Linked DNA regions of Oryctolagus cuniculus. The protein of the gene in region 2 binds, or shares a complex with, the protein of the main gene of each other region. Links are inferred from orthologs where the notes say so. Each region holds a gene or a part of one and is shown on either strand. Other genes may lie near its edges. The genes, in order: SNCA, NAA20 and NAA25.

Region 1 (3,683 bases), on a different chromosome or scaffold from region 2:
TTTAGAGATTAGCCACAAATGATTGGCGTTTCCAACAAAGAGGCATTCCAAGATGCACAGTTAACATAAAGCATCCATTCTTTGTGAAATGTCATTGTTCCTTTTGGCATTTACCACATCGCTCATTTCATTAGTGCTCTTCCAGAAACTGAAACAGTCGTGATGACTGTACAATTTGCATGGCATTTCTCGGTGTTCATACCCTAAATACAAGCTCCATATGAAAGAAGTACTTTTTTCTGAGGAGAATCAGGCAGTACTCCCCCCACGGCAGTCATCTTGTTTCTGAGTTTCGCCTCCTTTGAGAATGAGCCATGATCTTGCGATAGTTTAAATATAACATCAAACTCACACAACATACCTTGCCTTGCTGGTCTTTTTTGACGAAGCCGGTGGCGGCTGCAATGCTCCCCGCTCCTTCCACTGTCTTCTGGGCGACTGCTGTCACACCTGTCACCACTGCCTCTCCAACATTTGTCACTTGCTCTTTGGTCTTCTCAGCCACTGGGGTGAATGAAAAGCAATAGCAGATTAAAGACAGCAGCAACTTTATAAAATTCTACTTCCACTAACAGTCAACTTCCATTCAGCCTGTATTTTTTTCTTTTTTTTTTTTAAGATTTTTTTTTTATTTGACAGATAGAGTTAGACAGTGAAGGAGAGAGACAGAGAGAAAGGTCTTCCTTCTGTTGGTTCACCCCCTAAATGGCTGCTGCACCGATTCAAAGTTAGGAGCCAGGTGCTTCTTCCTGGTCTCCCATGTGGGTGCAGAGGCCCAAGCACCTGGGTCATCCTCCACTGCCCTCCCGGGCCACAGCAGAGAGCTGGACTGGAAGAGGAGCAACCAGGACTAGAAACCGGCACCCATCTGGGATGCCAGCGCCACAGGCGGAGTATTAACCAAGTGAGCCATAGTGTAAGCCCCAGTTCAGCCTGTATTTACACAGGCTTTAGGCAATTGAAGGATCACAGGAAATAGTAGCTACCAAGATTTCTAAGTGAGAGGGATTACTCAAAATCTGCATCTTCACTGACATCTTGTTATAATCACACAGACTTTAGAAGGTGCCTCCTCTTTAATGATCACAAGTGTAGGCCCACAAGCAGCTTGGGTTTGACTTATTTTTAGGAAAGTTGCAGAAAGTAGCACTTCCAAAGTCAGATATAGTGGAATCAGACTCAGCAAGAAATTTATTTCTTTATTTCAATTTCAGGGCCGATTCTTCTATCTCAATCAGCAAGTTCATTTTCAGCAGATTGCTGAGCAACATGACACATTCTACCTACAGGTTGAGCATCCCTAATCTGAAAATTCAAAATTCTCCAAAATCTGAAACATTTGGAGTGCTAACATGATGGCACAAGGGGAAAATTCCACACCATGAGACTTTGTTTCATGTACAAAATTATTTAAAACACTGTATAAAATAGCCTCCAGGCCAGTCATATACGGTATATGTGATACTCAAATCATGTGTATAGACTTGGGTCTCATTCCCAAAATATCTTATTTGGTATATGCAAATATACCATAATTCCCCCCACCGAAACAAAAGAAATCCAAGATCCAAAACACTTCCAAACCTAACTATTTTAGATAAGGGAGACTCCAACTGTTTTTGTGCTCATACATGTTACTATCAAAATGCACAATGGCAGAGGAATGGTTAAGAAGGAATTCTGAACCTTTTATAAAATTTCAGTTTGTGAAACAGAAAGGTTCTTAATTATAAGATTGTCAGTAATTTTAATGGGAACAAAGCATCTAGATTTTAAGTTAATATGAAAATTAAGAGGCTTATTGAACATATAATTCACTTCCATAAAACAAAATATGATATAATAATTCAGTATATTTCTAAAACCAATTAAAAATTTAGAGAAGATGGTGTAAATAATGTAAATTTATAATCTAGAGATTTAATTTCTTATCAAAAACTCCCAAAGACATCCTAGAAATGTACCTGCTTGTGGAATCAAGTTTTCTATATTATTTCAATATAATTATATAAAGAAAGCCCAAATAAAATTTTAATTTCAATTAACTAAAAAGTTGTATGCAACCAAATATAAAAGATTCTATGCTGTTAATAATTCAATACAGGGGGCCGCAGCACATGGTGCAGTGGGTTAATCCTCTGCCTGCGGCACCGGCATCCCATATGGGCACCAGTTCTAGTCCCCGCTGCTTCTCTTCCAATCCAGCTCTCTGCTATGTCCTGGGAGAGCAGTGGAGGATGGCCCAAGTGCTTGGGCCCCTGCACCTGCATGGGAGACCAAGAAGAAGCAGTGCAGCTCCGGCCATTGCGGCCAGTTGGAGAGTGAACCAACGGAGGGAAGACCTTTCTCTCTGTCTCTTCCTCTCACTGTTTGTAACTCTACCTCTCAAATAAATAAATAAATAAAAATAATAATTCAATACAGAAATAAAACCATCCATTTCCATCCAACCTGCTATAACATCCATCCATGCCATGAAGCCTTTGGTCCTGCATCTCTTATTTGTCTACAGAATCTCTGCCCTCTTTCCTTCTGCTCCCACAAACTCATTCCTGTTCTGCTTTTTCCCCCAACATTCAGGAATTTGGGGTTTTGAGGGATTCATTCATTAGGCACTCCATTAAGAATAAAGCCATATTTTCATGTTTCACCATCCTTATATCCTCCTGGTGAGCCTCTCTCTGAGAAACATCTCCAAATGCTACTCGCGTGATCCTTTTCAGATCTTACACCACTAGTTTGGGGCGTCAATAATTAAACAGTGGCACAAGGCAATTTGTTTTCAAGTAGAGTGTTTGGGTCAAGAAAGCAAGGGTGGTGAGTAAGGACTCTCATCCAGGCACTGTAGGGAAGGGTGAAGCAGCCACACAGTCTAAAATCAACGAACCCACAGCAGGTGTTGTTCTCAGTCTGCCTTTTGCCCAGAATTCTGCAGGTTTGCCTAGTGACGTTGTGCCACTGAACATACTAATGTCTCTGAAGGAGTAACAGCTATTTACAATTCAAAGTTCAATTTAAATGCCAGTGAAAAGCTGTACTGGAAAATTTATGTTTTTAAACATTTCTGGAGTGTTGATCTTTTAAAAATGGTGAATTATGTATTTCAAGTTGTCATTTTTTCCTTTTTTAAGAACATGAACAGAAAGTTTTGCTTGAAATGAACATTTTCTTGTTATAAATCTCCCAGTAAGAAAAAAACAGATTTTGGTTTTTTTACAAACTCATAGTTTCTCTGCCCTTCATGAATTTTACAAAATCTAGGCAATCCTTTAGATAGAAACTTTTATCTATTATTTTAATGCATCCAAACTATACAGTAAAGTGTATTTGTTATGTAATTGCAACTCATGAGGCTTTGTGGCTGTAATGATACATAATTTAGGTATATTATAAAATGACAGCATATACAGGCGGCAATAATAGACATATGTACTAAGATTTCTTTAGGACTGACTTTGCTAGTATGTTCCCTGTTGCCTGTGAGCCTCCTTTTTATACCTTTGAGAACTTTCAGACTGTTTCCCTTTTCCCTGCTCATCAACACTCCAAAGAGGGATAAAACAAAAGCTAAGAAGACACATTCAAGTACATTTTGGATATAACAAATGGCAATTATTTTTAAGATAAAAGACTTTCTAATGAGGGTCAAAGGGAGACACTACTCCAAACCAACTGATGCTATA
Region 2 (4,408 bases):
CGGAAGACAGCTGGATTCTCGAGCAGTTCGTGTGCTTGCTGCTCCTGCATCTTCAATGTCCCTTTCCTAGAAGTGTGTAAACACGACGCACACAGCAGCAGCAGCGTGGAGCACACCCCCCCCCCCCACGCCACCTGAAACGCTCTCGTCACTCAGCCCCCCACATCCCACCTCACCTGTGGGCCACACTGCGATCCTGGATGGCCAAGGGAGCCACGCTCCATCATGGACATCACCCAGCTTCCCAGTCACCTAGGTAGTCACGACCTCCCATCCCCCAATTCTCTCTCTAGTCCAGGCCTAAACTTGACCCCTCCTCCTGGGTGTCCCCTCACATGCCCACAGTCCACTGCAGCCACGCAGGTCACTGCTGCCCGTACAGCTCCCCTGCCCCTGCGTGCACGGGACTCACCCACTCCTTCTGGTCCGTCTGCATTGACGCCTTCCCTGGACACCCAGTGCAAAGCTCAATGCCCACTCCCTTCCAGGGTCCCTTCTTCTCTCTGCGCAACACTACGTTCTACATGTTGTATTTACTGCTTCCCTTCTAAAATGCATGTTCCATAGAGACACCAGTGTTCTTCTGTTTTGTTCACTGCATCTCTATACTGGCCGACAGTAGGCACTCAAATACTTTCCCCAAAGTCCGTGTTTGTTAGGTGAACTGCAGCGTTCTACAGGCGCTGCTTCAAGTCTTCCTCGGACACTAATTTCAGTGACTCTGAGTTTCCCACCACAATGCCCTAATCCACGCAACAGGAGCCAGCGGGGAGGAAGTGAGGGTCTCCCGCGGGCCTATGACGGAGACCTGAACAAAGAGAATGATCTCGGAAGCCCCACGTTGGGCTCTGCTGTGGTTTCCTTCCACGTTACCTGTGTCACGTCACACCCTTCCACCCCTTCCCGCAGCGCCAAGCTGCACCCTGTCCGCTCGCTCCCAGGCTGCCCCTCCCAAACACAAGCTCTTTTCAGGCCACCACCTGTGCGCTGCTGCCCGGGCCAACTCCTCTGCTCCGCTCACAGTCACAGAGCTGCTGCTGGGAATGAAGTTAGCCCCCAAAGCCGCAGTTCTCAGCCAAGCATTTGCAGTTCCAAAATATCCCTTGTGACCAGGGACCAACTCTTTAAGAACCACCTGCCCCTTTGATCGGATGCCTTCATCACTGGGTGTGTGATTCCCGCTGACTGTTACGGCTGGTAAGCTCCTGCAGACCAGTACTGCTGTAGCAGGAATGCTTAACAATGTTGCAACCGAAAGAATACAATAAACACTTTGATTTTGTGGTGCAGCCACTTAAACCCAGCTGCTTCGCTTCTGATCCAGCTCCCTGCTAGTGCACCTGGCAGATGGAAGATAGCACTCTCTGTCTCTCCCTCTAACTCTGCCTTTCAAATAAGTGAATAGATTTTTTTAAAGGTTTATTTTTTTATTTGAGAGGCAGAGTTACAGATAGAGAGGAAGAGTCAGAGAGAGAGGGAGGTCTTCCATCCCCTGGTTGCCTCCCCAAATGGCCACAATGGCGAAGCCAGGAACTTCTTCCAGGTCTCCCACGTGGGTGTAGGGGCCCAAGGACTTGGGCCATCTTCTACTGCTTTCCCAGGCCATAGCAGAGAGCTGGATCGGAAATGGAGCAGCTGGGTCTCAAACCAGTGCCCATAGGGGATGCCGGCGCCACAGGATGCTTAACCTACTACGTACACCAAGGCGCCAGCCCCCAATAATCTTTTTAAAACAGTATTCTGACTTTGTGATTCTTTAAAAAAAAAAAAAAAAAAGGCTACCAGGATTAATTGCTGACTCCACCCACTCCCATCTCAGGGCCGGCTCACCTGCACGCCGGGGTTCACTCATTCACAGAATGCGATGACAGACAGCACGTCTCAGGGTAGCGGGACTTAAACGGGTTATCACCGGAGCACTCATAACAGGTGCAGGGGCGGCGAGCGCGCAATGCGAGCCTCCTGGGCTGGGCCCCGGTCAGGGCTTACAAAGGAGTCTCCCCGCAAGGCCGAGTGGAAGCCTCTTGACCATAGGGCCGAGCCGTGTCACCCTGCTCTCCCGGGCTGCTCTGTCCCAGGAACCACACCCGCATTCGCACCGACCGCGCACCTCTCCCCGCACGCACCGCCTCCGCCCTTCGGCGCTGCTCCTGGCTACCTCGTCCCCAAGTCCCCTTGACCCGGGACCTGCTGCCCCGCAAGTCAGACACGGCACGGGGGCCAGGACGGCGAAATGGGACAATAAAGTCAACTTTCCCAACTGCCCGGACAACTCCAAAATAAACAGTGCCTGCGAGTCACGGGGCCTGCCTGGTCTCCGCACCCCGCGCAAATGCCCGCTCATCGGGCTGTACAGGAGAGAAGGGGGACGAGGCCGCCGCTCCGGGCTGCGTAGCCACAGCAGCCGGGCGCGAGCGGCGGCCGCCCGGGCACCCAGCCCGCAGGCTCCCACGGCCCCAGAGCTGCCTCGCTCGCGACCCGGGCCCTCCACGAGCCAGCTAGCGGCGGGCGCCCCGCAGCCGCGCCCCCAGAGCACGCAGCGCCCGGGGCCTCGGCCAAGATCGCAGCCCCGGGCCCACCCGGCCTCCGACACCGCGGCCCCCGGGGCTGCGCCCGGCCAGCAGCGGGCGGCCCAGGACGCGCCGCACTCACATGTTGTTGAAGCGGAAGAGGTCGTCGCAGGTGAAAGCCCGGAGCGTGGTCATGTCGCCGCCGCCACCCCAACTCCTGCCGAAACCGGCTCGCTTCGACCCTGCGCCCACTCCACCGGAAAGCACCCCGCGCACGGCCACGGCGGGTCAACGGAGGGGAACTGCTTCCGGGTCACGAGTCTCTCAGCCACACTGCGAAGACACAGCGCTCTCTGGCGGCCGACGTCTGGTATTACCGGGACATTCCTTTAACGTCGCGGGCAGCGGGTCATGGCTAACAGTATAGGCAACACAGGTGTAGAGACTCAGACGGAAGCAGAGCCACCTGCTTGGAAGATTCTTTTCCCTCACCCTCTCTCTAGATAACCAGTGGAGTGGTCTTGGCGGACAGAAATCAAATAACTCATCCAGGTGAAACCGGCACTGCAAGACACGCAGGTCTCCAACTCCCCTGGGTCCCAAGCTGCACCACGTGGGGCCAACTTACTAACCAGACAGGAGGCACAGGCTTAACAGGAGGATGAGAACCCAGGTGGTTGAGAAAAAGGAGCCTCCCCACCCCCAATCACAAGGACCTTCCGAGGCCCAAGCTGAGTTCTAGGTGTGGTTTCCAACCCCAACAATGCATGAGCATAAATCAGGTGTAGCAATAGTCCCGGAGAGCCCCAAGTTCAGGTCCACAGGTAGCACAAACGTGACCACTGCCTGCCACACGTTTAAAAAGAGGCTTTTAAAAATATTTATTTATTTATTTGAAAGGCAGAGTTTCCGAGAGGCAGAGAGAGAGATCTTCTATCCAATGGTTCACTCCCCAGATGGTCACAACGGCCAGAGCTGTGCTGATCAGAAGCCAGGAGCCAGGAGCTTCCTCTGGGTCTCCCGTGTGGGTGCAAGGGCCCAAGGACTTGGGCCATCTTCTACTGTTTTCCCAGGCCATAGCAGAGAGCCGGATTGGAAGTGGAGCAGCTGGGACTCAAACCAGCACCCATCAGGGATGCTGGCACTGCAGGCAGCAGCTTTACTGGCTATGCTACAGTGCCGGCCCAAAGATTATTTATTTATTTGAGAGGTAGAGCTCCAGAGAGAGGGAGAGACAGAGAGAGAGATCTTCCATCCACTGGTTCACTCCTTCAAAAGGCTGCAATGGCTGGGGCTGGGTGGGTTCATCTGAAGCCAGGAGTTTCTTCCGGGTCTTCCGGGTGCAGGGGCTCAAGCACTTGGGCCTTCCTCCACTGCTTTCTGAGGCACATTAGCAGGGAGCTGGATCAGAAGTGGAGCAGCCAGGACTCAAACCAGTGCCCATGCTGGCATCTCCGGTGGCAGATTTCCCTGATGCACCACAGCAGCAGTCTCGCTGGTGGCTTTCTGTACAAACTGAACATGGAACTACCAGTCAAGTCTCACTCCTGGGCATTTATCCCAGAGAAGAGAAAGCTACGTTCACACAAAAACCCATACAGTCCTGGGTAAGTAGCGTCAGAAGCTTGGGCGCCATATTTCAGGCATAGGACTGTCTGGAAAAGGCAGAGTTACAGGGAGAGAAAACAGAAGGGTGATGGCCTGGGGCTGGGTTAGGGGAGCACACGGAGACCGATGCAGGGGTGGGAAGGGAGGTAGAGGGGAGATACATTAAGCAGGGGTGGCTTCCTGACCCCATGTGTCCCGTGTCTGTCCAAGCACCTGGACTGCAAACTACAAGGAGGGAATTTTACTGCCTGTCAGTTCTACCTGAATCAACCTGACTTTAAAACAAAAAG
Region 3 (4,155 bases), on a different chromosome or scaffold from region 2:
AGTTTGGACATAGTAGGTGGTTAGTAAATGCCCAGTATTAGTAGTTACTATTATCATTACAGGTTTTCTCTAGATATGTGTATATTTAAAATTTTAATATAGGGGCCAGCGCCGTGGCTCACTTGGTTAATCCTCCACCTGCAGCGCCAGCATCCCATATGGACACCGGGTTCTAGTCCCGGTTGCTCCTCTTCCAGTCCAGCTCTCTGCTGTGGCCTGAGAGTGCCGTGGAGGATGGCCCAAGTGCTTGGTCCCTGCACCCACATGCGAGACCAGGGAGAGGCACCTGGCTCCTGGCTTCGGATCGGCGCAGCTCCGGCAGTGGCGGCCATTTGGTGAGTGAACCAATAGGAGGACCTTTCTCTCTCTGTCTATAACTCTGTCAAATAAAAAAAAAATCAATAGCAATTGCTAACTTGCCCTTCTGCTGGGTTGTAAAGGGTTGAATCTAGAACCCTTAATTACTACTTCTCAAAGATTGAATTAGAATCTCTGTGGATAAAGCCGCAGGAAACTCATGTTTATTAAGTTTCCCGGGGTGGGGTGGGGTCTAAGAGTCTAATGTCCACTTGGAGAATCGCTTTCTTGGACATCAGGGCCCAGGAAGGGAAGAGGGGACACAGCAGAAGGGTCATCCCAGGGGACACTGGGGTTGGTCTGACACAATGCTCTGATTGTACTCGCAGAGACCTGGGCTAGCATCAGCCAACAGCGCAGTCCGAGGCGTGACACCTGCCGGGCCCCCTCTCACTTCCTGTGACTCTCCGACAACTGTCACTTTCTCAGGCTTTCTCTCACCACACTATTTCACTGTAGCTTTTCTCACCCTGTAACACACTGCGCCGAGTTATCCGTCCGTTCCTGCACAGCTCAAGCTCCAGGAAGGTTTGATCTCATTTCTCGGTGCGTCCTCCCTACCTGCCTGCAACAGTGCGCGCAGAAACCAGCCTTGGATGAACTCATTCACCCGTCAGAGGGTAGCTGACTGCACTATCTGCCCTCAGGCCCGTTATAAACATTGACAGAACCCACGGAGAGACCTGCGGCAGTGTCCAGGCACACACTGAATTATATTCACGTTGGGGGCTTCCCGGTCGGCCCGGCAGAGAGGTGGAAGGTTCTCGAACTTTCCAGCAGATTCTGCGGATCCCTCCTTCCCTGCCCCCCCCCCCCCCCCAGGAGTTCCCTGTTCCTCAACAGTTAAGCAAAGCCACGTTTGACTGGTTCTTCAGGACTGAGAATAAACAGGCCAAGCAGGGGCGGCGGAGCCCTACTTCTAACCGGGAGCTTCCTCCTTTCCGCTCCTCACGCCCCCGGAGGTGACCGGGAAGGGAACGCATTAGCCACAACCATCTCCGCTCGCCGCCTTCCCGCACCAGCAAAAAGACGGGAACCGCAGCCAAGCAAGCGGCGACCGACGGAGGGGTGGGGCCAGCTTCCCCTTCCGCGCAGGCGCATTCAGTCGCAACACCACGACTATCGCGATAGACGCGCGAGATCGACGCTGGCCCTTTAACTGCCCCTTCCCGGGGGCCTGCCCCGCGCGTGCGCACTGCGGTTCTGCGCTTGTCATCATGGCGACGCGGGGCCATGTGCAGGACCCTAACGACAGGCGCCTCCGGCCCATTTACGGTGAGTGCCTGGGGCCAGCCTGGTCGCCGGCCCGACGCTCCAAGGGCTTCTGAGGCCGGGGCGAAGGCCCAGGAGGGGTGCTGGAAGCCTGCGCGCGGGGCGGGCGGGCACCAGGGGCGGGCCGCGCGGGCCTCTAGGCCGCAGCCGCGGGCCTCGCGTAGGCGCCGGGCCGGACTTCCTGAGCCGTGAGATGGTAGCGGCGCGGCGGGGGCTACTGCTGGGCCACGGAGCCGGCCTGAGAGGCAGGCCCGGTAGGGCGCGGAATCTTGGCGCTGCCGGTCGGCCGCGTTGTGATGGCCGCTCCCAGAGAGAGACTGTAGAGATCTCGCAGGTGGAAGCCGACCCTGGCGCTGCGGGGGAGCCTAACCGTTCAAGACTTCTGTTATTTGTGGGGAACGGGTCTGGTCAGGGCTGCCTGACTGGAGGGGCTCGGATGCACACGGAGCAGCCGCGACCCAGAGACGGGAAGGGGCTGGCGCAAGGTCACCCAGACGGAGGCAGGAGCAGGCCGCAGGATTCCAGGCTCCCCATCCAGGGCTGGTTCGTGGGGAAGCAGCTGCCCGGGGCACACGTGGGAGGCTGGGGTGGGGGGAGGGGGTCACGAACCCAAAATAGCGGCGGGGAGACGGCGGTGAGCCCTGCCGGAGGGGCGGCCCGCTGCTGGGAGACGAGCTGAGCCAACCCCCTGCACCCGGCGCCTGTCTTCAACCCGCCGCCTGTCATTCTGCTACCCTGGCCGTGGAGAATTGCAGAGTTGACTACGGGAGAAATGCACTTTTTTTTTTTTCAGTAGCCGAAACTGGACAATGAAAAATGGCCCCTATTGCATTTCCCTTTCTTTCTAGTTGGTTGTGTGGTCTCGGTGAACGGTGAGAAGGCGTCTAGGTCAGTGGTTTTTGCAAAAAGTAGGCTTTGCGTCTGTAGTAGTGTGGATGTTCCTAAAGGGAGGCTTCTCCACAGGACTGAGGTGTGCGTGTGCGCGGTGGAATAGGTGGGTAGTTTTATGGTCAGGCTTTTTATTTCATCATTTTTTATTTGATAATTTGCATGATACTCTGACTTCTCGTCTGGTTCTGTGTGCAGCAGTCCTGTGAAACCAGTACTAACAGTCACTGCTGGAGTGTGTAGAGCCCTCCTGCCAGTCTGTCCTAACCTTTTATAGAGGTACCTCACTCACTCTTCCCACGTGTACCGCGCATCTGGTGAGAAGCTTACTGTTGCTGCTTGTGTTTGCAGCATTTCTCTCTCTCACACACACACACTGCCCCCCCCCCCCCCCCCATTTTGCTGATGAGGAAACTGGGACTTTTTTGATGTTACGTAATTTGTCCAAGGCCACTCAGCGTGCATTTCTTGGAGCTCGGACTTGAAGTCCTGCGTGGGTCCCAGGCTCGCCCTCTTAGCCGCTGGAGCTGCAGGTCCTGGTTGGCCTAGGCTCTCACAGGTGGTGCTGGCAGAGTGGGACCCAGATTTCCATTCCCCAGGGCTGACGCTCGCACGCTCTTGCCCTCCAGCGGGTGTTTGCAGAGGGCAGAGCTGAGACCTGCAGGATGATGGTGGAAGGTGAGAGCTGAATGCGGTGCGTGAGACTTGCCCCTTCGTGTGGCAGCTGCCTGCAGGCTCTTTCCTGCCCTCCCCTCTGTCCTTTCTTTCTTTTTTCCTTTTTTTTTTAACTAAAAAGGCTGAATACTATTAAGAATAATTAGATTTTTTTTAAATTGTTCTCAAGGACCAAAGAGAATGCCTTTGGTTCCCACAGTCATTTAGAATTAATAGCATTTTGAACTGTGCCATAAGAAACACATGTCCATTTCACATTGCCGAACATCAGGATAAGTTAACCAGAAGTGACCCGTCATATTCTGGAAAGTGAACTCAGAATTATGCAGCTTTTGTTAGGGCTACATGGGAAGAGGATTAGAAGAGGCTTTCTTCAGGAATTCTAAGGTGATTAATGTAAACCGGCAGGAACAGGAAAAGTCAGGGTACAACACTCTTTTACCACAGCACTTTTGACTCTAAAGCTTCCGAATTTTGTTGTTTAAAATACATTACTGCTACGAAACAATTATTGTTCCTTGAATTCAGACATTCACTAAGCTGACAAGCGTGCCTCACCAGCCAGAAGTTCAACTGCCAGCATTGAGTACTTACTTGTGGGATAGCTGTCCTTCTAAGTAGGTGGGATTATTGTGGTCCTGGTAGGAAACTGAAGCCTGGAGGGATTACTTTCTCAGGATCATAGCTAAGCTAGGAGGCAGACACCGACATTCCCATTGGAGAACCCAGCCTGCACCAAGTTCAGACTTAGCACTGATATCCTTTTTAAATTTTTTTTTTTTTTTAAGATTTATTTACTTGAAAGTGTTATGGAAAGAAGTAGAGAGAGAGAGAGGTCTTCCATCCGCTGGTTCACTCCCCAGATGGTCGCAACGGCTGGAGCTGTGCCGATCCGAAGCCAGGAGCTTCTTCCCGTTCTCCCACGTGGATGCAGGGGCTCAAGGACTTGGGCCATCTTCCACT

What was found.
Region 1: the proteins of NAA20 (region 2) and SNCA are in contact, whole or in part, in a cryo-EM structure (PDB 7STX), measured with the Homo sapiens proteins. The link is inferred for Oryctolagus cuniculus from reciprocal best matches to the Homo sapiens genes NAA20 and SNCA. Residues at the interface, in NP_057184.1 of Homo sapiens: Leu23, Thr24, Glu25, Tyr27, His73, Val74, Thr75, Ala76, Leu77, Ser78, Leu110, Phe111, Tyr137, Tyr138, Ser139, Ala140; in NP_000336.1 of Homo sapiens: Met1, Asp2, Val3, Phe4.
Region 3: the proteins of NAA20 (region 2) and NAA25 are in contact, whole or in part, in a cryo-EM structure (PDB 7STX), measured with the Homo sapiens proteins. The link is inferred for Oryctolagus cuniculus from reciprocal best matches to the Homo sapiens genes NAA20 and NAA25. Residues at the interface, in NP_057184.1 of Homo sapiens: Thr2, Thr3, Leu4, Arg5, Thr8, Cys9, Asp10, Leu12, Phe13, Phe15, Asn16, Asn19, Leu20, Pro22, Leu23, Thr26, Tyr27, Gly28, Ile29, Pro30, Leu33, Gln34, Leu36, Ala37, His38, Pro40, Glu41, Pro49, Glu52, Met54; in NP_079229.2 of Homo sapiens: Ser226, Glu227, Ile228, Asn259, Asp261, Asp262, Trp263, Gln264, Arg318, Arg321, Leu325, Lys362, Pro363, Cys364, Thr367, Asp368, Val371, Leu457, Thr459, Glu460, Leu461, Ser504, Ala506, Leu510, Leu532, Asp533, Lys535, His536, Ile537, Gln538.

The regions. Positions count from the first base shown.
Region 1 is NC_091439.1:75,768,207-75,771,889, reverse strand, and holds part of SNCA (alpha-synuclein), read right to left. Parts: intron 505-3,683; coding exon 362-504; intron 1-361. UniProt on the Homo sapiens protein: Neuronal protein that plays several roles in synaptic activity such as regulation of synaptic vesicle trafficking and subsequent neurotransmitter release.
Region 2 is NC_091442.1:44,638,355-44,642,762, reverse strand, and holds the start of NAA20 (N-alpha-acetyltransferase 20), read right to left. Parts: upstream 2,921-4,408; 5' UTR 2,706-2,920; coding exon 2,653-2,705; intron 1-2,652. UniProt on the Homo sapiens protein: Catalytic subunit of the NatB complex which catalyzes acetylation of the N-terminal methionine residues of peptides beginning with Met-Asp, Met-Glu, Met-Asn and Met-Gln. Proteins with cell cycle functions are overrepresented in the pool of NatB substrates.
Region 3 is NC_091452.1:9,430,701-9,434,855, reverse strand, and holds the start of NAA25 (N-alpha-acetyltransferase 25, NatB auxiliary subunit), read left to right. Parts: upstream 1-1,178; 5' UTR 1,179-1,574; coding exon 1,575-1,632; intron 1,633-4,155. UniProt on the Homo sapiens protein: Non-catalytic subunit of the NatB complex which catalyzes acetylation of the N-terminal methionine residues of peptides beginning with Met-Asp, Met-Glu, Met-Asn and Met-Gln. May play a role in normal cell-cycle progression.